Rattus norvegicus: one gene and its partner. The protein of the gene in region 1 interacts with the protein of each later gene in a pairwise test. Links are inferred from orthologs where the notes say so. Each region holds a gene or a part of one and is shown in the gene's direction. Other genes may lie near its edges.

What was found.
Region 2: the proteins of Dhx15 (region 1) and Rbm5 interact in binary tests that used the Homo sapiens proteins (3 or more experiments, as listed by UniProt). The link is inferred for Rattus norvegicus from reciprocal best matches to the Homo sapiens genes DHX15 and RBM5.

What each region holds. Positions count from the first base shown.
Region 1 is NC_086032.1:63,002,094-63,013,801, forward strand, and holds part of Dhx15 (ATP-dependent RNA helicase DHX15), read left to right. Parts: intron 1-2,800; coding exon 2,801-3,236; intron 3,237-6,502; coding exon 6,503-6,696; intron 6,697-11,708.
Region 2 is NC_086026.1:117,295,784-117,306,554, reverse strand, and holds the end of Rbm5 (RNA-binding protein 5), read left to right. Parts: intron 1-1,533; coding exon 1,534-1,695; intron 1,696-2,773; coding exon 2,774-2,923; intron 2,924-3,002; coding exon 3,003-3,074; intron 3,075-3,638; coding exon 3,639-3,818; intron 3,819-4,092; coding exon 4,093-4,167; intron 4,168-5,279; coding exon 5,280-5,377; intron 5,378-5,455; coding exon 5,456-5,585; intron 5,586-7,089; coding exon 7,090-7,215; 3' UTR 7,216-7,474; downstream 7,475-10,771. UniProt on the Homo sapiens protein: Component of the spliceosome A complex. Binds to ssRNA containing the consensus sequence 5'-AGGUAA-3'. Regulates alternative splicing of a number of mRNAs.

The sequences.
Region 1 (11,708 bases):
GAAGAAAACATGGAATTAGATACTTCCTCTTGACCATGCTGGCCCCAGGGGTCAACTCAGTTTTTCACTCTGAACCATCTCACCAGCTCTGGAAAATCTGAGGACATTTTTATTCTAATGGTTCTTAGTATTCCTGATCGAAACTCAATAATTATGATTCTTTGTAGGTAGAAGTGTGTTTCACTACAATCCTGTGGTAGCTGAAATTAAATAAGATGCAGTGAGCAAGAAATTTTCACACTTTAAGGTATAAAGAAAAGAGCAGTAAGTTACTCCAAATCATTATTTCCATCTTTGGAGACCATACTTATTCTTAAATACAAAATGTAATATCTGAGCTCTTGGAATTTGGGGCCTATTTGTGCAGTACTCCAGTTATAAGGCATATCTCTTGTCTTGCTCATTGATATTAAGTGCTTTCTTGGGTTTTTTTTCTATAGATATGTATACATATTAATGCCCATGCTTAGTAGTGTTTATATAAAATATCTGAAGTAGATGACTAGTTTCCATCCTTTTTAGCGCAGTATATTAGTGCCCGTTATTATTCCAAGTACAATTTAAATGGAACATCAGTAGTAACCAGTATTTGCCTGGTGCATTTCAGATATTCCAGGCAGCATTACATTATTAGCTTATTAAATGTTTTTAGTTCCATTTCAAAAACCATAGCTTGCACGTGAGCAAGGAAACGCTGTTCTCGATAATTGTCAGTGTAAACTAAAGTGCTATTTAGAGCACTTTTCTGTCTGTCCATCCGTCCGTCCATCATTTCTTTTTAAAAAGAGGCAGCATCTCTACATAGCCCTGGCTATTAGAAACTCACTCTGTAGACCATGCTCACAGAGATCAGCCTGCTTCTGCCTCCAGAGTACTGGGACTAACGTGTTTTAACCACCACATTGGGATTGTTTTTATTTTCTTTAAAATTAAAAGCATTGTTTCAACTAGAGAATTTTTATGAACAAAACTTTTGTAGTGAAAGTTCCCATTTTGCAGATAAAGTGAGTCTTAGGCCTTCGCGTGTATTGCAACATTTGTGGTTGTCATGCCCCTCTTTTTTAATTTAAATTTTCACTTCACTGATTAGCAAATCTTTGTGTTTTTTTCATTGTATTTTTTTCTCTACTGTAGTAATGAAGCTGCAGGTGAATTGGGTTTTGGTTGGCTTGTGAGACTTTATTTAGTTTTGTGTGAGGGTGGGGGTTGGGATGTTTTGTTTTGTTTTGTTGGTTGAGGGGGGAGAGGAGGTGGTTGGTTTTGGTCTTTTTAGATAAGGTTTCTCTGTGTTGCTCTGGATGTCCTGGAACTGTCTGTATACCAGGCTGGCCTCAAACTCACCTCTGGCTCCCAAGTGTGTGCCTGGACATTAGAATAGAAGAGAAGTCACAGGCTAGTGAGGCTTTTCTTCACTCTTAAGATTATGTGGAATAGAATCTCATATTTTAAGAATAATGTACTGGCTGGTTTTTTGTGTCAACTTGACACAAACTGGAGTTATCACAGAGAAAGGAGCCTCAGTTGAGGAATGCCTCCATTAGACCCAGCTGTAAGTCATTTTCTCAACTAGTGATCAAGCCGGGAGGACCCAGGCCATTGTGGGTGGTGCCATCCCTGGGCTGGTGGTCTTGGGTTTTATAAGAGAGGAAGCTGAGCAAGCCAGGGGAAGCAAGCCAATAAGTAACATCTCTCCATGGCCTCTGCATCAGCTCCTGCTTCTTGCCTTGTGTGAGTTCCAGTCCTGACTTCCTTTGATGATGAACAGCAATGTGAATTGTGTAAGCTGAATAAACCCTTTCCTCCCCAACTTACTTCTTGGTCATGATGTTTGGGCAGGAATAGAAACCTTGACCAAGACAAAAAAGATTGGATAAAGTTTACCACAGCTGTGGCTGAACCATTTTCACACAGTACTGTGTTTAGTTAGCATTTTAGCTGTGTTCTGTTTAAGGTCTTTACTGTTACTCCCCCATCAGACTGTGGAGAGTGAGTGCTCTTCCTTGCTCTGCTGTATTGAGACTTAGGTCCCAAGAAATGGACTTTTATGTGTTGTAAGTAAAGAGCAATGACAGGTTTAGTTAGGGGTTTATTTCTGTCTCATCTCCAAAATGCCTCATTATTTTAGTCTGGGTCCCAAAACCTTATGGGAACTTAAGGAATTGGTCTGAAGTAAAGTTTGAATGAATGAGTAAACAGGTTCCTTCTATCACTAACTACTCAGACCACCTTTAGATGCAACTCAAAGCCATATTGTTTGTCTTCTATTATAAATTATCTTAAAATTACTCCACTAGGAATATTTGTAGTAGATACCAGAAATGACTGCTTAAAAATAAGTTTAGAAAAGTAATTGACTTTTCTGAATTTCTTAGTTTTTAAAACAACTCTGTATTTTATGAAAGTTTTTAATTTTATTACATTTCATTTTGATTGATCCAGGTTCATAGATTTACAAGGAACTCACAGAGATCACTTTCCTCTGTTTTCCAAGTGTTGGGTTCTTAAAGATGTATGCTATTATACCCAGCTTCAAGTGTTTTTTAATTACATTGCATTTTGTGTTGAGGCTATGTCCTGGGTATTGAATTAAGGTGGTCAGACTTGGGAGCTGAGCCATTTCAATAGGCTATGGGTCAGTTCTTAGTGTTGCTATGCTTAAGGTTTTAGAAGGATGAAACTAGAGACTTAGTCTAGTAAAGGATGATTATGCTGGTATGTGAAGAATCTGGTCATAATTTCTAATAACTAATTGAGATATGTGTTTAAAATCACTCTGATTTCTAAATTTTTGTATTTCTAGGAAAGACCGGGAACGAGATCGGGATAGAGAGGACCGATCTAAAGATCGAGACCGAGAACGTGATAGAGGAGACAGAGAACGGGAGAGGGAGAAAGAAAAGGAAAAGGAATTGAGAGCTTCCACCAATGCTATGCTTATCAGTGCTGGATTGCCACCTTTAAAAGCTTCTCATTCCGCTCATTCAACCCACTCCGCTCATTCAACACATTCTACACATTCTGCCCATTCAACACACACCGGACATGCAGGACACACATCACTTCCACAGTGTATTAATCCATTTACCAACCTGCCCCATACTCCTCGATATTATGATATTCTAAAGAAACGTCTTCAGCTCCCTGTTTGGGAATACAAGGATAGATTTACAGATATTCTTGTTAGACATCAGTCATTTGTACTGGTTGGTGAGACTGGGTCTGGTAAAACAACACAGGTGAGTTGTTAAAGACCATGGTAAATACGTTCATGTTCAAACTAAATGTGCTGATTGGTTCTTGGTAGTCCTTTCCATTGTCTGTCAACTCATTTCCAGTTGTCTTGTCTTATAGAGTACCTTGGAGAGTCCTTTGATGAGCACTCTTTAGTAACTTTAAGGGTGTGATTCAAATAGAGTGTTCAGGTTTTTCTGAGTCCACATAGGAAAATAACTGGTATGGTCTCATCTTGTAGGTACGGCAGGAATAATTTTCAACACATTTTAACCCTAAGACAATACAGAGTTAGAAATACAAAGTTTATTTTTGAGTGCTTGAGTAGAGAAACCTGAACAATTGAAGTAGTTGTTTCTACTCCAAGTATTTGTTAAAATATTTCGAATTATGTGAACAGTGTAAAAAAAGTTGAAATTGCCAGTTATGATAATGCAAATCTTTTCTAGCATTTAGGAATCAGGTAGGCAAGTTTCCGAATTCGAGGTCAGTTTTCTATAATGAGATCCTGTCTCACAAGAAGAAAATGATTAGAAATGCTGCAAGGTACAAAGTATGGTTGTGACCTGCATCCATCTGCTTCCAGGGTTGTAGTACTAAACACTGTTAAAGGGGGCTCATCGGGTGCTCACAGGTTTTAAACATGAACAAGCCATTACTTGATCTTGTTGATAGGTGGTGCAGCCTATTTTTATAATTTTTTACACTACTGCATCTATTTATGTGTGAATGTTTGTGTATGGGTACACCCATGCCAAAGCACATATGTGTCAATCAGAATAACTTAGGAGAGTTACTGTTCATCCTATGGGTATTGAGGATTGAACTCAAATTGTAAGGCTTAATGGCCAGTGCCTTTAACTCACTGAGCTGACATACCAACCTTAGGCTTTGTTCAGTAACTTCAGGGACAAGTATGTTTGTAGATTTTTGAAATGTCTAGATTTATTGCACTCGTACTACATGTAGCCAAATAGTCCTTTCCTCATGGAGCACCCGTCAGCTGTTTGGTTATATCCCTGAACTTGAATTTAGTAGTAATTGTGGATTTAATAGACACTTGGGAAGCCATCAGAGAAGAGTCTCATTTTGATTACAAAAGTTGTTGGGTATGGTAGAATATTTCCAAAACACAGGAAAATACTGAAATCAACTTAATAATTGCCCATTTTAATATGTAAAGATGAAAGGCTTTTTTGACTTATTCATTCATTTTTATGAATGTAGGGTACACATTTCTAATTGAACATGCTGCTAAAGCAGGTACTCTACCATTGAGCTCTATGTTCAGGGTGTCCCCCCACCCCCACCCCCGTTTTTTTTATTTTAAAGAAAGGATCTTGCTATTCAGTCTATTTAGGCTTCTAGTTTTGCTATCCTCTTGCCTGCTGAACCTTAGATGTGGACCACTGTGTCTGGCTTAGGATTTTTTTAAATTATGTTCTACAGATCAAAACTGAGTATTTCATAGAGACATTTTGATATTCTAGCAACCAAAAATATTAAAAGATTTAATTGAGGGACAACTTTATGTTAATAACTCAAACTTTTAGCTGTGGATAGTGACACTTTTAATTTCAGCATGTTGAGGGCAGCTTTGTCTACAGAGAGACACCCTGTATCAAACAAACCCTTAACTTTTAAATTTAATGTCTTTTTAAAAAAAAATTCATGAGAATGTGGCTCTATCAATGCCAGTAGAATTTTTAAACTATTTCAGATGCTATTGACAATCTTTGTTAATATTTTTGGAAAGTCAAACCATATGTATTTTTCATGCTTTATTAATAGCCACATTGAAGGTAGTTTGCATTGTGCAGATGGACAGACATAAAGAGAACTAAGTGCTGTCTATCAGGTTGGACATCAGAATTGAGAATATGTAAAATACATCCTACTAGAAAGGTTTAGTTTGAAAAAATTATTTTTTGTGGGGTGAAAATGCAAGTTTATACAAGATGGGTTTCATTAGGAATTAATATGTAAATCTATTACTTTCTCATTAGTTATTTTAAGAGTATAAAGAACTTTTAAAAGTTTGAGATCTGCCAAATAAAATGAAGTTAAGTCATTCATTTCATTAGAATGGATTTTTTTTTAAATCTGAACAGTTTTAAGAATTAAGGACTAACTTCCTTTAATCTGCTAGTCAGTGCTTCTAATTTCACATTGTTTGATTTTATTTTACTTTCCTTTTCTTTTGGAGCAGGGTTGGTGAAATGAAGGTAGATCCTTAAAGCTTTCCTAGAAAAGCACTATGGTTCTGTTGGTTTCCAGAACTAGGAAGATAGTGTTAGTTAGTAGTTTTCTTCATTTAGGCCCTTGAAAAACATACACTATTTTCTTTGGAGAAACAGTATAATTGTCTCCCCTTTGAGTTATTTGTTTTTATGCATGAGCTAGTCAAATTGCAAAAGTAATTAACTAAATTATATATAACAGTGTATCAGCCAACATTTCTCATCAGATGTCGTCATGTAAGCACTGAGATCCAAGCCCTGTACATACCTTAGTATTAGAATGTTTCAGATTTCAGAATCCTTGATGAGACAGATCGAGGTACTTATAGCTGAGGATTCTTAAGGTTGTGAACATTTACATCTTCCTATCTTTTCCGTTAAATGACTAGAGAACCAAACTATGAGAGAAGCCCTTCATGTCTGCATATTGTAATTGGTCACCATAGTGACCACCTTGAGCTTCAGATTTTCTTTTCTCTTTTCCCCTTGGCTGTTCTCAGTCCCTTTGAACTTGAAGGTGGTGATTTTGAGAACTTAACTAGTTAAGATGTTATCTAAGGTACTGTTACTGTGCATAATACTGCTCCTGAGAGAAAAGTTAACAGGGTTATAATGACGTTTTGATGGATTGCAATTTATATGATACTTGTGCCTACATTTTTATAATTAAGAATGTGATTTTCAAAAGTATACATTGCTGTATTTTACTTCTGAGACTTAAAATTCTTTCAAGGATAGAATTTAAATTGGATGTTTTTCCATTGCTTAGAAATACTAATGGTGCAGCTGTACTGCGGAGCACACTGAGCACCTCTGAGTGGATCTTGTCTTCCCAGGAGTGTAATTATGTTACATCCCTGTTGTCCATGAGCCCTTCTGGCTTAGAGTGCTCGCGTTAGTGTAACCCGAGTCATAACAACTTTGCATAATTGAATTTTGTTTTAAATAATTACAGTAAGATAAAGTATTAGATACATATAGTTTGTATGTGGGTAGGGTACAGATAATTTAAATGTGAAATCATTTCATAGATACCACAGTGGTGTGTGGAGTATATGCGATCCTTGCCAGGACCCAAAAGGGGAGTTGCCTGTACACAGCCCAGGAGAGTGGCTGCAATGAGTGTGGCTCAGAGAGTTGCTGATGAGATGGACGTGATGTTAGGCCAGGAAGTTGGATACTCCATTCGATTTGAAGACTGCAGTAGTGCAAAAACCATTCTTAAGTAAGTACTCTATCTTTAAAGTGGATACTACTCTAATTATAGGTTTGGTTTGTTTTTTTTTCATTAGTTAAGGACTTTTACTAATGGAATTGCCAGCTTTAAAATACAATGAAATAGACATGCCAGGTGATTTTTGTCAGTGTTTTTTCTTGATGATAGTATATTTAGCTTTTCAGTAGAAATTCTGTTTCATGGGTTGGGGATTTAGCTCAGTGGTAGAGCGCTTGCCTAGCAAACGCAAGGCCCTGGCTTCGGTCCCCAGCTCCGAAAAAAAGAAAAAGGAAAAAAAAAAAAAAGAAAGAAATTCTGTTTCAGTTTAGTTATGTGGTGCTATATCCTGTGTAAAATGTTAATAATAGCATAAAGTGTGGTGTTTTAGATTGTTCATTTAAATGTAATAAAGGGTAAAAATGTTAGTAAAAGTTATGTTTAGAACAGATGATATGTGGGAGGGATGTGATTTATTTATGGGTAAGGAAAATTGTGTAGTTTTTGCTATGTGTGAGCTCATGGAAGAATCTTGTTCTGTAATAAAGTATTTATACCATCTCAAGATCCTGCTTCTGTGACCATTTTGAGCCTTGTAACTTAATTTATATAGTTGTTTTCTGGGTCTTACAGTTACATTCTGCTTAACTAGTGATAATTGCTGTCCAACAAATCTTACTTTCTCCTCTTGCTTTTATGTATTCACATTTATAGGACATTAGTCAGTTTTAGAAATAACTTGGTCACAGTGCAGTTTTCAAGTGTGTTATAAAAAACAAACCTGGAATACATGGTCAGTGATGTGAACCTGTGGTGTGGAAATGCCCTGTGGTAAGATGAATGAGATTGATTGGATTAGGAAAAATGGTACAGTAGCATAGTATGAGGTTCTGTATCCACCATCCTTAGGCTCTTGGTTCATCCATATCTGAGCATTGATCTTAAGTAGTACATATTTTTGTTTTTGAATATTTAGTGTGTCTCTTAAAATTTATAACTGAAAAGGCAGTTTTTTAATTAAGATAGCCTGTTAACTTTTTAGCTTATATTTCACTTTTTTTAAGTTCTTGGGTTTCATTTGAACTTCATAATTTTTTAATAGAAGTTCAACTTTAAAATACTAATCAGCTTATGTTTTTTACTTTTAAGGAATGTATTTTTGGCTTGTATCTTCATTTTCATTGAATATAAAACTTAAGGTGATAACATCTGTGATTTGAAATTACAGTATAATGACTATATTGCATAAAATCAGCTTTTTTATTACTCTATAAGATGTAGATATCAAGAACTTGAAAATAAAGAATAGATTTTTCCTCATCTCTACAAGGAGTATCTTTTCAATATTTGATTATGTACCATATTTTCTCGGTAAGCTACAGTAAAGGGAATAAAGCAGTGTGGATTTTTGAGAAAATTACAAACCATATTAATAGTGTATCTGGTAGAAGTAGAGGAAGGATGGACTTTCAAAAGATGGATCTTGTAATTAAAGCTTTAAAACTTATTCTAGATAAACTAAGCTTGTTGGTATTCTACAATCTGTTTACCATCCTTTAAAACTAACCTGGCATTGTTAATGGACTTGGAAATGGGTATGTGTTTTATTTCCTTCAAGGAAAGAAAAATTGTAATGCAACTCTTAGTAGTAAGAGTGTTAGTGGTAGTTTTAATTGATAGGGTGACTTCACTAAGAAGTGTTGTAAAAGTACCTGGATATATTTGCATTAACTCACTGAAAACCCAGAGAGTAAAAACTGGCAAAGCTTTTAAACTGAAGGTCAGTTGTGTATTGAGTAGGAAGAATGCATGTATAGACAGGTCCTTACCCTGCATTAACTATTTTTCTATCTAGAAATTAAAGTGTTTACATATTCATCAAATAGTCAAACTTTTAATACAAAAGGATAGTAGAGGAGACTAAATTTTAAAGATTTTTTTTCTTGAACATCTCAGAATATAGACAGACAGTTCGAAGCTACATTTGTGTCTTTAAAATTGGTCCTATATGGTATCCATAATATATTTTCAATGTTTGAGATGCATTAAATTCTACATTAGGTATTGTACTGTTGGCAGAGGATTTGACCTTGTACAAATTAGTCGACATGGAGATCAGACATAGCATTAAGGAATCTAAAGAAACAGTCCAGTCTGAAAACTAGTGGGTTAAGGATAAATGCCATTGTGACAGTCATGTCAGAGCATCATGATTCATCGTGATGTTTGGAACAAGACGTTGATGTGTAATACCATTGCTATGGATTGAAGAATTTCTTGGTATGAGTTGTAACAAATCATAGAACATTTCTTAGTTTATTTTCAGGGAACAAATGACTTTGGAAAGGGAACAGTTTAATCTGTAGAAAAAATATTTTGGAGTTGACTTTGTAGATAATATTACTGGTAGTTGAGGTGATAACAGCTGAACAATAGAAGTAGTTTGATGTTGAGGGAATCCAGCTATTTATCAAGAAATACTCAGTACTTTAGCCATTGAACAATGTTTTATGTATTAGACAATATATAGTAGTAAGAAATTAATCTGGTTTATGTCTATCAAGAGCAAATATAAATACAAAGTTTCAGATAGCTGAAGCAGATCATATTTATATGGAAGAATAATTCACGTTTGATGGAGAAGTTGGTTTCTTGGTGACAGTGTGGAGTCTAACCCAGGACCTCATGCTTGCTAGGCAAGTGATCTACCAGTGAGCCATATTTCAGTTTTGTGTAGTCGGCATTTTCAGTCTACGATCCAGTTGAATGAAGCAAATAGAAAGATTGAGGTACAGGGTGCCAGAATTCTAGGCATATGGGATAACCCCCACCCCCAATTTTTTTGTTCCCTTAAGGGAAAGGTTAGCTTTTAATCCTTTAAATATGTAATGTGTGTGTCGGTTTGAGCATGGCTAACCATGGCATATATGTGTTTATCAGAACAATGTATGGCTCTCTCTGTTGTGTATGTGCACATGTGATAGGGTTTCTATAGCCCTACCTGTCCTGGTTTTTGCTTTATATCTATAGATTAGGATTGCCTAGAAATGAGTTCTGCCTGAGCTTCCTGACCATGTCATGCACTTAAAAGTTTTTTGCTTGAGGAAGTACCACAGTTACTTTGTGAGTAATAAAACTTTTAAGCATTGAACAAACATATAAGCATTTTATGCCAGATTACTTTAAGTTATTAAAGAACTAGATTATTGTGGACAATAATCAAAGGTGGGATTTTTAATGTCTTGCTTAGTGGAGCTACAAATTTGGGATAGAATTTGAGTCTGTCTCCTATGCTTGCCTTGTATGTGGAACTTGGTGGGTTCTTCCCTTCTCCACTTACTCTGAGGAAGTCAAATCGGCAACAGAGGAATGTGAAACTTGTGACTATAAGAATCTTGATGAATGTTTAGCAAAATTAAGAGAAGGGGAAGATATAATAAGGACCTTCTAAAATTCTTTAAGGTTCTGTTGATGAAGCAGAACATGGAGATTTAGAGATTTAGGTAATTTCCTTTTCATTCGGTATCTGTTTTGGTTATCTGATTAGCTTTAGTTTTGGGATTTTAAAGGAGACTCTGAAGTTAGTATATAAAACAAGTATAATTTTGAAGGGATATGAGTTCTGTTAACTACTGTTCTCATACTCTACCCAGAATTTTGTCTGGTATAATTTGAGGTTAAGCTGCTAGGAAGCCAAGAAAAGGTAAAGACAAGAGGAAGGACATGGTTGAAACATAGGGAAAAATGAATGGCAGTCTTCATTGTATAAACTCCATTTAAAACTTAAAGGAAATACACTTTTAATAAGAAGTATATTTATACAATCTAGATAAAAAAATTTATAGGATTGTTTTAATATTAAAGATAGGCGTTCTTTATAGGCAAGAAGGTGGAAGAAGCCAAAAGATCCTACTAGCAAAATACAAACACTACTCAGTAACGATCTTGGTGGTAGGGAACATTTAAGGATGACACCCTGAGAATTATGATATATTGCCTGGCAAATTTAATACTGAAGTGCTAACTGTATAAGAATTTAGAGTCTGTAGCATTAGCCAACAGGGCACAGTGATGAGGAATTTGAGAACCAAGATGATCCCTCTATCCTAAGGTCTTGAGTTGGGTCCCAGCCCTATTACTAATTAGTTGCAAGTTTCCAGAGGAAGGAGCTAATAACTGTCTCAAGGATTCTAAGTGTGTTGATCTATGTACAGTCATGATATACTGACACTCAGCTTAACTATGTAGTCAACATGGCTAACACACTGCTGGTGGTAGTGGAAGTATATTTCCAGCTATATTGTAGAATCTTACTAGTCAGATTTAGTGTGAATGAAAATGGCTTCCATGGGATCAAATATTTGAGTGCTTGGTTCCTATAGTTGGACCATTTGGGAAGGACTCCTCCTGGGAGTGTTTGAGGAGGTATGTCACTAGGAAAGGGTGGATCATTGTCTCTTGAATCCTCAGCTTTGAGGTGATAATGTTAGCTTTGAGCTACTGCTTCAGTACCGCATGCTGTAATCCTCCTTGCCTTCTGAAACTGAAAGCAAACTTCCAAAAAATTTATAAGTTGTCTTGGTCTTGGTGTCTTCTTACAATAATAGGAAAGTAACTAACTGGTGCCTACCAGCTAAACTAATTTAAAAGGAGCTTAATAAAGCAATGTAAAGTTCTGTATAACACAATAATTGAATTACAGTTGAGGATATTAGCATGAATTAGAATTTGATGTTTGTCATTGTGGAGTGAATGTAGGCAAGTGCCCTTAGGGCTTGAGATAAGAAGTAAAAACTGGTCTGCTACTACTTTAAGCCTCATATGTACGATTTAAAAGTAATTTATAGTAGTAGGCTCCATTCTTATTGAACTCTAGTGTGTAAGCTAAATGGTTTAGTTTGATCTTTGTGCTCTTAGGCAGGGGAGTACAGAATAATTGGTAAGTTGACTAAGCAGTTGACTGAAATATTACTTTTCAAGTGGGATTCTTTTTTTTTTTTTAATCTGTATATATGCAAGGCAGT
Region 2 (10,771 bases), on another chromosome or scaffold:
AGCAAACAAGTACATTTAGCAGGAAGTTGGTGTAGAGTACCTGTGGTTTCTGAGTGAGAAGTGTGAAGAAACAATATGCTGCCTGCCTGTGTGCCTAGCTTCTTCCTTATTAGTTCACTTCCGTCATTTGTTCCATCTGACATCTCCATGGCAGTTCTCCCTCATTCAGCCATATATGTGACAATCCCACAGTTCCTTTCTCTGTAAGAGACATCATAGAAGACCCAGCTAGTAGAATGGGAAAAGGCTCTTGCTCCCAAACCTGATAACCCAGAAACTAGATGTTAGAAGAAACCAGCTCCAAGTTGTCTGTGACCTCTGAGCTCAGTATAAGCAATCAAACAGACATGACTAACCATGATTTTATAAGGAAGAAAAGGGGTATGTGTGATAGCACATATCCTAGACAGAAGTTGGTGGGTCTCATGGTTCTAGGACACCCAGGACCTGTCTCAGAAACAACTACATATATTAGGTGTGGTACACGCCTGTCATCCCAGGTTTCTGAGGTCAAAGCAGGAGGATGAGGAGTTCAAGGTAGCCTCTTCTACACATTAAATATGAGCACAGCTACATGAGATCCTGTTTTAACTTTTAAATTTATATTTTATTATGGGTATTTTGCTTGCATGTGTACCATTTGAGTGCCCAGTTGTCAGTGCCTAAAAAAACTAGAAAAGAGATTGGATCTCCTGGAACTGGAGTTAAAGATGGTTGTAAGCTACCATGTTGTTGCTGTGAATCAAAACCCAGATCCCCTGGAAAATTAGCTCCTGTTTCTAACCACTGAACTACCTCTCCAGCCTCAAGATCCTGTTGTTTGTTTTGTTTTTAAATAAGACAAACCAAAAAAAAACCCTCTATTCTTGAGAAGAAGTAATCTACTTTTTCTAGAAGTTTCATGCTTTACTAGCTAGTGCATCCTCATGCATACCAAGGTGTTCTATATCACTTTATCACTAGTCCTAGGTATATTTTGTTTTTGTTTTGGGGATTGGTTTGTTTTGGTTTTGTTTTCGCTAGTTGTGTTGAAATGCATCTGGCTTAAGACTCCCTTTGTGGGGTTGGGGATTTGGCTCAGTGGCAGAGCGCTTGCCTAGGAAGCGCAAGGCCCTGGGTTCGGTCCCCAGCTCCAAAAAAAAGAACCAAAAAAAAAAAAAAAGACTCCCTTTGTAACTGAGAATGAAATCCTGATCCTTCTGCTTCCACCTCCCAAATGCTAGGTTTACAGACGAGTGTCCAGACCAGACTTACTTGGATTTCTGTTTGGTTTTTCAGATAAGTTCTCAACTCTATAGCCTAAACTGACTTTACAATTGTAGTCATCCTGCCCAAGGCTCCGGAGTGCTAGGGTTTACAGAGGTGCTTTACTATTGACCTAATATTTAAGTTAACATAACAGGACTTGAGGTATAGCCAGTGGTAGAGCAGCTGCTTATATGGCATATTATAGCCTTCGGACCAATCTCCTCCACACAAAACCTTCATCAACAAATCTGCAGTCACTGCATATTCTTTTTTTTCCTCTTACAGTACTACTATAATTCCTTAACACAGCAGTACTTGTACTGGGATGGAGAGAAGGAGACCTACGTGCCAGCTGCAGAGTCTAGCTCTAACCAACAAGCTGGCCTACCTTCCACAAAAGAGGGAAAGGAGAAGAAAGAAAAGCCCAAGAGCAAAACTGCTCAACAGGTATGACCTGTCCAAGGACACCATGGTTCCTCAGAGACTTAAATCCACTTAATTCTTCATTTTTGGCTTGTAACACTTAATTAAGTCAGCTTTATTTGGATTCTTAAAAACTGGGCTACTGGTCCTGTTGGTCCAAGCCTATAATGAAGCAACCTAAGATGCTACAGCAGAAACACACTTTCCCTTATTCCCTTCCTTCCTTCTTTCCTTCCTTCCTTCCTTCCTTCCTTCCTTCCTTCCTTCCTTCCTTCCTTTCTACCTTTTCTCTCATCAGCACCTTAATAAAACCCTGTTTCAAAGTAAATATGCCACTGGTAATGTAGAGTACTTGCCTAGCATGTTCAGTTGCCTGACATTTAATCCATAAAAATAAAAAACTGGGTTGGACAAGAAATGTAGCCCAAGGTAGAGTTCTTGTCTAGTATTTCAAGTGCTAGGCCTGATCTCCTGAAAGAAAACAAGAAAACTCTGCAAGGCCATAGTGAGTTAGAACTATACGAATCCCTGTCTAAAAAATGATGAGACAGGAGGCCAGGAAGACAGTTCTGTCAGTAAAGAGCTCTGTGCACAAGCATGAGCACTGTCCTCACCCCACATTTAGAAATCCAGGCTCAGGGAGACAGTTAAGCTGCACACAGAAGCCTGAGCTGGAATCCTGGCACTTATGTTTGGGATCTTCCATCTGTAACTCTGGCTCCAGGGAATATGACAGGCTTTCCTGGCCTCACAGATCCATACACATATGTATAATTTAACATATTATATAAATCTTTATGTATTTGTCTGCTTGTGTGTGGAGTAGAGGTCAGAAACAAAGGAGGTTGGTTCTCTCCTCTTGTACCATGGGTTCCAGGAACCAAACTCAGATTACTACTGAGTTATCTTGTGAGTTTCACAATGTAAGATTCTTTTTTTTTCCGGAGCTGGGGACCGAACCCAGGGCCTTGCGTTTGCTAGGCAAGCGCTCTACCACTGAGCCAAATCCCCAACCCCACAATGTAAGATTCTTGTTGGCTTATTTATTGTTAGATCACAGAGAGGTAAGTGCTTTTTGATGGTGTTTGTTGTTTGATAATAGATTGCCAAAGACATGGAACGCTGGGCTAAGAGTTTAAATAAGCAGAAAGAAAATTTTAAAAACAGCTTTCAACCTGTCAATTCATTGAGAGAAGAAGAAAGGAGAGAATCTGCTGCAGCAGATGCTGGCTTTGCTCTTTTTGAGAAGAAGGTATGGTAACGGGAGGAGCCATACTTCGTAATGGCTGTTTCTGTAACCGTTGTGGCTTATGGCATGTTCTGTTTTCCAGGGAGCCTTAGCTGAAAGGCAGCAACTCATCCCTGAATTGGTGCGAAATGGAGATGAGGAAAATCCCCTCAAAGTAAGGAAGTGCCACCTGTGGTCTAACCAGCTGTGTGGTTTATGTCTCACTTTGAGTTTCTGCTACATCTTGGCTAATGCAATTCCCTCTTAAAATGGGATGCTTTTCTCTGTCAGTGGGTATTTGGAACAGCTTTGGCATATAGAATCCACATTGAGGGCTTTGTTTTCGTGCCTGAGAACAGGTGAGATGGACCGATGAATGAAGCCTGAATCCCTAAGCTAAGTAAATTGGCTTCTGAGGCATTTGTAAATAGAATTTTTAATGGTCTGGAAAGGAAATTAGGACAAAGTGAAAACTTACTTTCTTGATAGATACTGGGCTAGCTGGGCCGTTGCTCTGATCTGTTGTTGTGTTTGGAGTTTTTATGCATGCTCAGTGGTTTGAAAACAGTCATCTAAGAAACCATTTCTTGGGCTTCATGGGATTGTTTCCAGAAGGCTGTTCCAGGCAGTTGATGAAGTGTTGTTTACTGAAAGACAACACAGAGCAATAGAGATTCTCTCACCTTTTGGCTGTTTTATCTGTGGAATTTCCAGTGACCCATTGTCATTTTGTCTCCAGAGAGGTCTGGTTGCAGCTTACAGTGGTGACAGTGACAATGAGGAAGAGCTGGTAGAGAGACTTGAGAGTGAGGAAGAGAAACTAGCTGACTGGAAGAAGATGGCCTGCCTGCTGTGCCGACGGCAGTTCCCAAACAGAGATGCCCTGGTCAGGCACCAGCAGCTCTCTGATTTACACAAGGTGGCCTAACTTGTCTTGCTATTGGGGAAGGGAGGGAATTTAGTGGTGGGAGTGATGGCCCTGGTGAGGTTCAGTGAATACCCATCTGTTGCATAGGTGCCTGGTGTCATAGGAGGTAAGAGACTCACTTTACCTTCACACACTCCTGGATTTGGTTTGGATGCTAATCATGTAGTGAGATTTGGCCAGAATATAATACAAAGTACTAATGTTAGGACATTTCATATTAAAGTGGTCTGAATTCTAAATGTGTCTGTAAACTCTCTTGTAACAGCAAAATATGGACATCTACCGAAGATCCAGGCTGAGCGAGCAGGAGTTGGAAGCCCTGGAGCTGAGAGAGAGAGAGGTGAGTACTTGGACACTGTGTTTGGATGAGAATCCTAGCATACCTGCCTTCAGTACTTTGTGTTTTGTTTGTTTAGATGGAGTCTTGCTACGTTCACAGGTTGGCCCTGACCTCTTAGGCTCACGCTTTCCAAGTAGTTACCACTGTAGGCCTATATGACCACACCATTTTGCTTTAATTCCAAGTTCCTAAGCAAAATGGAAGGATATATCAAAAACACTTTGTCATCCAGCCATTGTACCTCATGTAACTGGACTAGCGTGTGTTTTGTGAGCCCAGCAGTGGATTTAATTAAGGAAAACATGTGTTTCCTTGTTTGTCCTGCTAACATAAGCGTTCCTGAATGGTGAGGAAGGCTTCAAATCAGGCACTGAAGACAGGAAAGCATGTGATGGTTTCCCAGTCATGTAGAAGGGAGGAGTGGGCTGTACATGGTAAATGGGGCGGAGAACAAAGATTTATTAGTCTGTAATGCCTGTGGGATTACTGGTTGATGAGATAGGGCCAGATAGAATTGTAAATGCACCTAGAGACCTATACATTAAAAATCATTTAGAAGTTTCCCGCCCCGGGATCAATCTGAGGTGTCTGATCCCCACTGAGTATAGTGCCAGCTCTCCGGGTTTTTTGTTTTTGTTTTTGTTTTTATTTTTTTTAAGATTTATTCATTTATTATATATAAGTACACTGTAGCTGTCTTCAGATACACCAGAAGAGGGCATCAGATCTCTTTACAGATGGTTGTGAGCCACCATGTGGTTGCTGGGAATTGAACTCAGGACCTCTGGAAGAGCAGCCAGTGCTCTTAACCGCTGAGCCATCTCTCCAGCCCTCTCCAGGGTTTTCCGGGTGGGTTTCAGGAAGCCTCTGTTTCTGGAAGTAGACCTGTCCAAATGCTACCTGGAAGTGGGAAGTTCTGGCTGCCTCATCTTTGGGACAGTGACAAGCAATGAGACCAAAAATGGTAAAGGAGACAAAGGAATTTTGTATTGAAGTACACACTAATAGGCTCCAGGTTAAAGGCTACTACAGGTTAACATCTGAATATACAATGCTATTGAAAGTTGAAATGAGGGTCCTCCTCGCTTATCCTTTTGTTATTCTCTATATAGATGAAATACCGAGATCGAGCAGCAGAAAGACGAGAGAAATATGGAATTCCAGAGCCCCCAGAGCCCAAGCGCAAGAAACAGTTCGATGCTGGCACTGTGTATGTGATGTGCACCATTTTCCAGTTCACTAGCTAGGGCTCTGGCTGTTTAAGTAACTGTGTGTTTGCCACTGGCAGGAATTACGAGCAGCCCACCAAAGATGGCATTGACCACAGTAACATTGGCAACAAGATGCTGCAGGCTATGGGCTGGCGGGAAGGCTCAGGCTTAGGAAGAAAGTGTCAAGGCATCACGGCTCCCATTGAGGTAAGTATGGGCTCTGATATTCATAGGTGCTGGGTGTTAAGTAGGCAGAGGCACACTTCCCCTGAAACCCCTTCTTCATCTCCCTCATTGTGTCCTTTTGTTTTTAAGAGGGAGTTTTGTTTTGTTTTGTTTTGAGATCAAGTGCCCCGTGTAGCCATGATTTTCCTGGAACTCACTATGTAGACCAGACTGGAATCGGACTCAGAGGTGTATATGGCCCTGCCTAGAGAGTGCTAAAACTAAAGACATGTGCCATAGGCCTAGTGCCCTTGCTTGAAAATGAACATTTAGAAAGATAGTTTGTCATTTGAGAGTGCTTTCTGGGGCTGGGGATTTAGCTCAGTGGTAGAGCGCTTACCTAGGAAGCACAAGGCCCTGGGTTCGGTCCCCAGCTCCGGAAAAAAAAAAAAAGAGAGTGCTTTCTGCTCTTGCGGCCTCCACAGGCACTGCATACATGTGGTGCACAGACACACATGCAGGCAAAATAATCATAGACATAGAAATGAGTGAGTAATTGAAATATTCCAGGACCTGGGCTGGAGAGATGGCTCAGTGGTTAAGAGCACCGACTGCTCTTCCCAAGGTCCTGAGTTCAATTCCCAGCAACCACATGGTGGCTCACAACCATCTGTAAAGAGATCCGGTGCCCTCTTCTGGTGTGTCTGAAGACAGCTACAGTGTACTTATATATAATAAATGAATAAATGTTTAAAAAAAAAATATTCCAGGACCAACAAGATGGCTCAACAGGGAAGCCTAGCAACTTAAGTTAGGTCCCCAGAACCTACATAAAACTAGAAGAGAACCATCTTTACAAAGCTGTCCTTTGACATTTGTGCACCATGCCATACATCCCCACTCCTTCACCCCCCCCCCCCGGACAATTTTTTTTTTTTAATTTTTAAAGAAAATGTAAGGCAGATACAGTGGTACAGGCCTGTTTTTGGTAAACTGAGACAAGAGGCCTAACTGGCCAACTCAGTGAGACCCTGTCTTGAACTTCCCACCCCAACTTACCCATCTAAAATTTAAATTTAGAAGAAGAAATTACTCAATTTGTCAGAGCCTAAATTGAGGCAGTCCTGGGCTCAGAGGCTCAGAGCCATTGGCCAAGGCAGGAACTGTAGCAGAGACTGCCCTGGGGCACAACCATTGTCAGCCTTTCTTGTTTTTACTTTATGCAAGCATGTTTCCCCGGTGCATGGGAGTTTTATTGGCATTATCCATCGTGTTTGAACTTGTGCCTATAATTACCTTACCCAGGCCTCAGCTTTAGAGACCTTACCAGCCACCAATGTTCACTGAGTAGGCATTCAAGAGTATGAGTGGGTTCATTTCCTTAAGCACTTCTATTGCCCCAGTCCTTAAAATTGTCTCCAGGTCCAGTGTTAGCCCTCGCCTTCTTTTTATGTGTACTTTTGTTCAATGGTATGGGTGGGATAGAAGTGGGTGCGTCCATCTGTGCCTTGCTTATCAGCCACTAACAGTCTCTTTGTTTCCCCAGGCTCAAGTCCGGCTAAAAGGAGCTGGCTTAGGAGCCAAAGGCAGTGCATATGGGTTGTCAGGTGCCGATTCCTACAAAGATGCTGTTCGGAAAGCCATGTTTGCCCGGTTCACTGAGATGGAGTGAGACTGGCGAAGCCATGCTGAGCACAGGGAGCAAGCCATCTCCTCAGTTGCTCTTACTGCCTGTCTCTAGGGCATGCCTTGTGCTGTTAATAGTTTTAGGATGAACCACTTCATTCTGAGGGGTTCTCCTACCTTAAATGAGCTCCCTTATGTGGGTTACCTGGTAAACAACCTTTCTTCCCACCTAAGGATTTGTGAACAGAGGGGACAATGGGCTTTTTATACAAGGTGTATATAGTGTAAATATAATGTGTTTTACATGTTGTCGCCTGTGTTGTGTCCCTGCTTCTTGGGGGCTTGAGAAGCTCGGAGTGGTTGTCAACACCAAAGCCACCACTGTCATTTATTGTTGTTATGTCCTTTCCTGGCAATAGCCTTGTGTATATTTGTATATTATACATTTGTACAGAATTTTGGAAGATTTTCAGTCTAGCTGCCATGTCTGGCTCCTTTACAAAAGAAATACCTTCAAAAATGGGTTTCCTGTGTCTTTATTGAGAGAATGGGTGGTAAAGGCTGTTGAGACAGTTGGATCTGTGATGGTTTTTCTTTGCAATTGGTTTTTTTGAGATGAGTTATACAACCTAGGCTAGCCCAGGCTGGTTTGGTACTTGTAATCTTTTGGTTCTCTCTACTTCCAGTTCCTAAGCATGGATAGGACTGCTTTTATCTCAGTATTTAGGTTCTAGACCTGCCAGGGCAGAGATTACATGACTAGATTACTGCTCATCCAAATAGAACCTCCCTTTGGTTTTGTTCTTTAATTTTTAAAAAACAACTTTAGATCTATGTGTATTCAAGTAATGTCTGTGCATATGTGCATGCTGGCACCCACAGAAGCCACAAGAGGGTGTTGAAACTGAAGTTATGAACTGCCTGTGGGTGTTGGGAGTCAAGTGTGGGTCCTCTGAGGAGAACAAGTGCTCTAAACCACTGAGCCTTCTCCAGTCCCTGTTTTTTCTGTCTCACTGTATAACCCAGGCTAGCCTTGAACTTGGGATCTTCCTGCCTCAGCCTCCAGAGTGCTGCAGTTATGGGCATGATCCTCCCTGCCTTGACAGGGGTTCAGATAAAACTACTTTTTTTCTCCTTTGCTGGAATGGAGGTGCCAACACTCACCTGTAGGGAAGGGTGCTGTGGTGCATTTATGGGGTTTCTATCCTTAACACTAGGGCAAGAAGCATTTTGTCCAAAAAAGACTTAAATGTGATGGTAATGATCTTAGGGCCCAGAGCATAAGAAATCCCATTCTTATGTCTACATATCTGTACCTATGTATCAGAAGTAATGGCAGATCCCCTGGGAGCCCTCATGTGGGTATTGGGAATCAAATTCAGGTTTTCCTAAGAGCAACCAGTACTTAACTGTAGATCTGTCCCTCCAGGTTGTTGCTTGATTTGATTTGACTAGGGAGGAGGGGGGCAGTTTATATTGCCCTGGCTTTCCTGGAAATCCTTATGTAGAATAGGCAGGACTTGAACTCACAAAGATCCTCTTGTCATTGCCTTCAAGTGCAGGAACTATGATTGTACCACTACAGCTGAGCAGAAAGTGTGAGGGTGTCAGACTCAGATGGGTGTTCCTACAGCCAATGTGAAGTTGTCAGGGAAGGTAGTCTGTGTTCAGGCAGACATGGTCCTTATACAGTTGGGATGTCAATAGGAAGGACTTTAAATGGGCCGGTCCCAGCCAGCTTAGTAGCTCCCTGGAGAGGTGTGTTGCAGCTTTGCTAGGCAAAGTGAGACCAAATGCAAAACTCCCAAGTGTGGGCATACATGGCAACCACTCAGAGATGAGGCCACACATTCCCTATGCTTGGGCGCTGGATGTGTCAGCTGGACAAGTGTCTGCCCTGGGGACGATTAGCCAGTCTTCCTACCTACAGAAGCCTCTAGGGAGAGGGTAGTGACTTTACCACCTGAGCAGCAGTCATAAGCAGTCTAATTAAGCTGCGACAGCATGATGGCTCTCAGGCGAGTATAGGTGGCATGGCTCTGGAAGCTCCTAATTACCTTCAGTGGAGTCGCGAAAGCTTGGATGGCAGTGTCTGCCCTGTAGAAGAGAAGAGATCCCTCCCTCAACCATCTCACGCCTTAAGTTGACTGCTCATGCTAACAGGAACACTTGTACCCTTCTTACACTACTTGTCAGACTTTTCACATTGTTCTTCAGCCACTCCTGCTACCATGCATCTGAGCCCAGTCCTTTTTTAATTTTACAGCCAGTTTCAAAATTTCCTCTAACCTGCCTATGGGGTGCCTTCCCTCCTGACCATCTTTGATTGGGTTTGAGGAGGTGAGTGCTGCTGAGGTAATGCAAATTCCCCATCAGCCTAGGCTGACCTGCAGAAAGCCTCCAGGGTTTCTGAGTCCAGACTGCCCTTGGCTGGGACAGCTGCTACAATGTACAGGGCTTTGAGGACCATCCAGGAGCAGCTGTCATGGCTGTGCATCAAACAAGTTTCAAAGCCCAGATGAGTGGCCAGGCCTGAGCTAAGCTCTCCAGGCATGCAAAGTCTGGCTGGGGGGATCTCAAGGGTGCCGAAGTCTAGCTACCCCTATCCGGAGGGGTGAATGCCCTTAGGGACAGGTGGAGTGCTTAAGGGGGAGACTGCTCTCAGGAGACCCAGATCCTGAGAGCACAGTGCTATATGTGGCCACGAGGTGGCAGCACTCCATCATCTTTGCCCAGGCCAGTAAGCCAGAGGCCTGAGACAGGAAACGAACAAGCTTTCTTCCTAAACTGAAGATCTGGAAATACTGCTAAACTCAGACCACAAAGTACTTCGTTGCCAAGGCTGTAAGCTGCTCAGGGGACCTCTCCAAGCTCCACTAGCTGAGAAGATGCTTTCAGTATAATCCTAGCACTTGGGGGCCAGAAACGGTAGGATTGTTACAGACTCAAGGTCAGCCTAAGCTCTGTAGTGAGGCCTTTGGCCTTGATTTAAAAACGGAGAGGGTGCTGGAGAGATGGCCCAGCAGATAGAGAGCGCTGCTCCTGTAGGGCACCTACTTTGGGCTGTTGTTGACAGCATCCTCTTAACTCCAGGGATCTGACCCCTCTGATCTCCATGGACATCTTCGGTCACCCACACAGACTCAAACACAAACACATAATTAAAAACCTTTTTATAAAATTGTCACCTGGCAAGGCGCCAGGCGTCTTTAATCCCAGCATTTAGGAGACAGAGGTTGGTGGATTTCTCTAAGTTCCAGATCAGCCCAAGGCCAAGCCAAGGCTATATAATGAGGCCCTTTCTCTAAAAACTAGAAGAAAAGTTCCACAACACCTAACCGTGGAGCTGTAGAGCAAGAACCAGGCTGGCCCTGTGTACTGTGAGGGCTCCAGTCTCCGAGCAATCCTTTCCTCTCCTGGTAAAGAGGTTCTGTTGATAAGATGCATTTCTGCCTCATGCTCCCTTCCGCCATCTACATAATGCGACGACATAGTAGTCAGACCTGAAGCTTGTAGCTCCACCTTCCAAGGGGAGTCGCCTAGAGCTCTCAAATAGAAGCTAAAGATGCCCACAGGCCTTTAACTTTGTCTTCTGTAAAGTG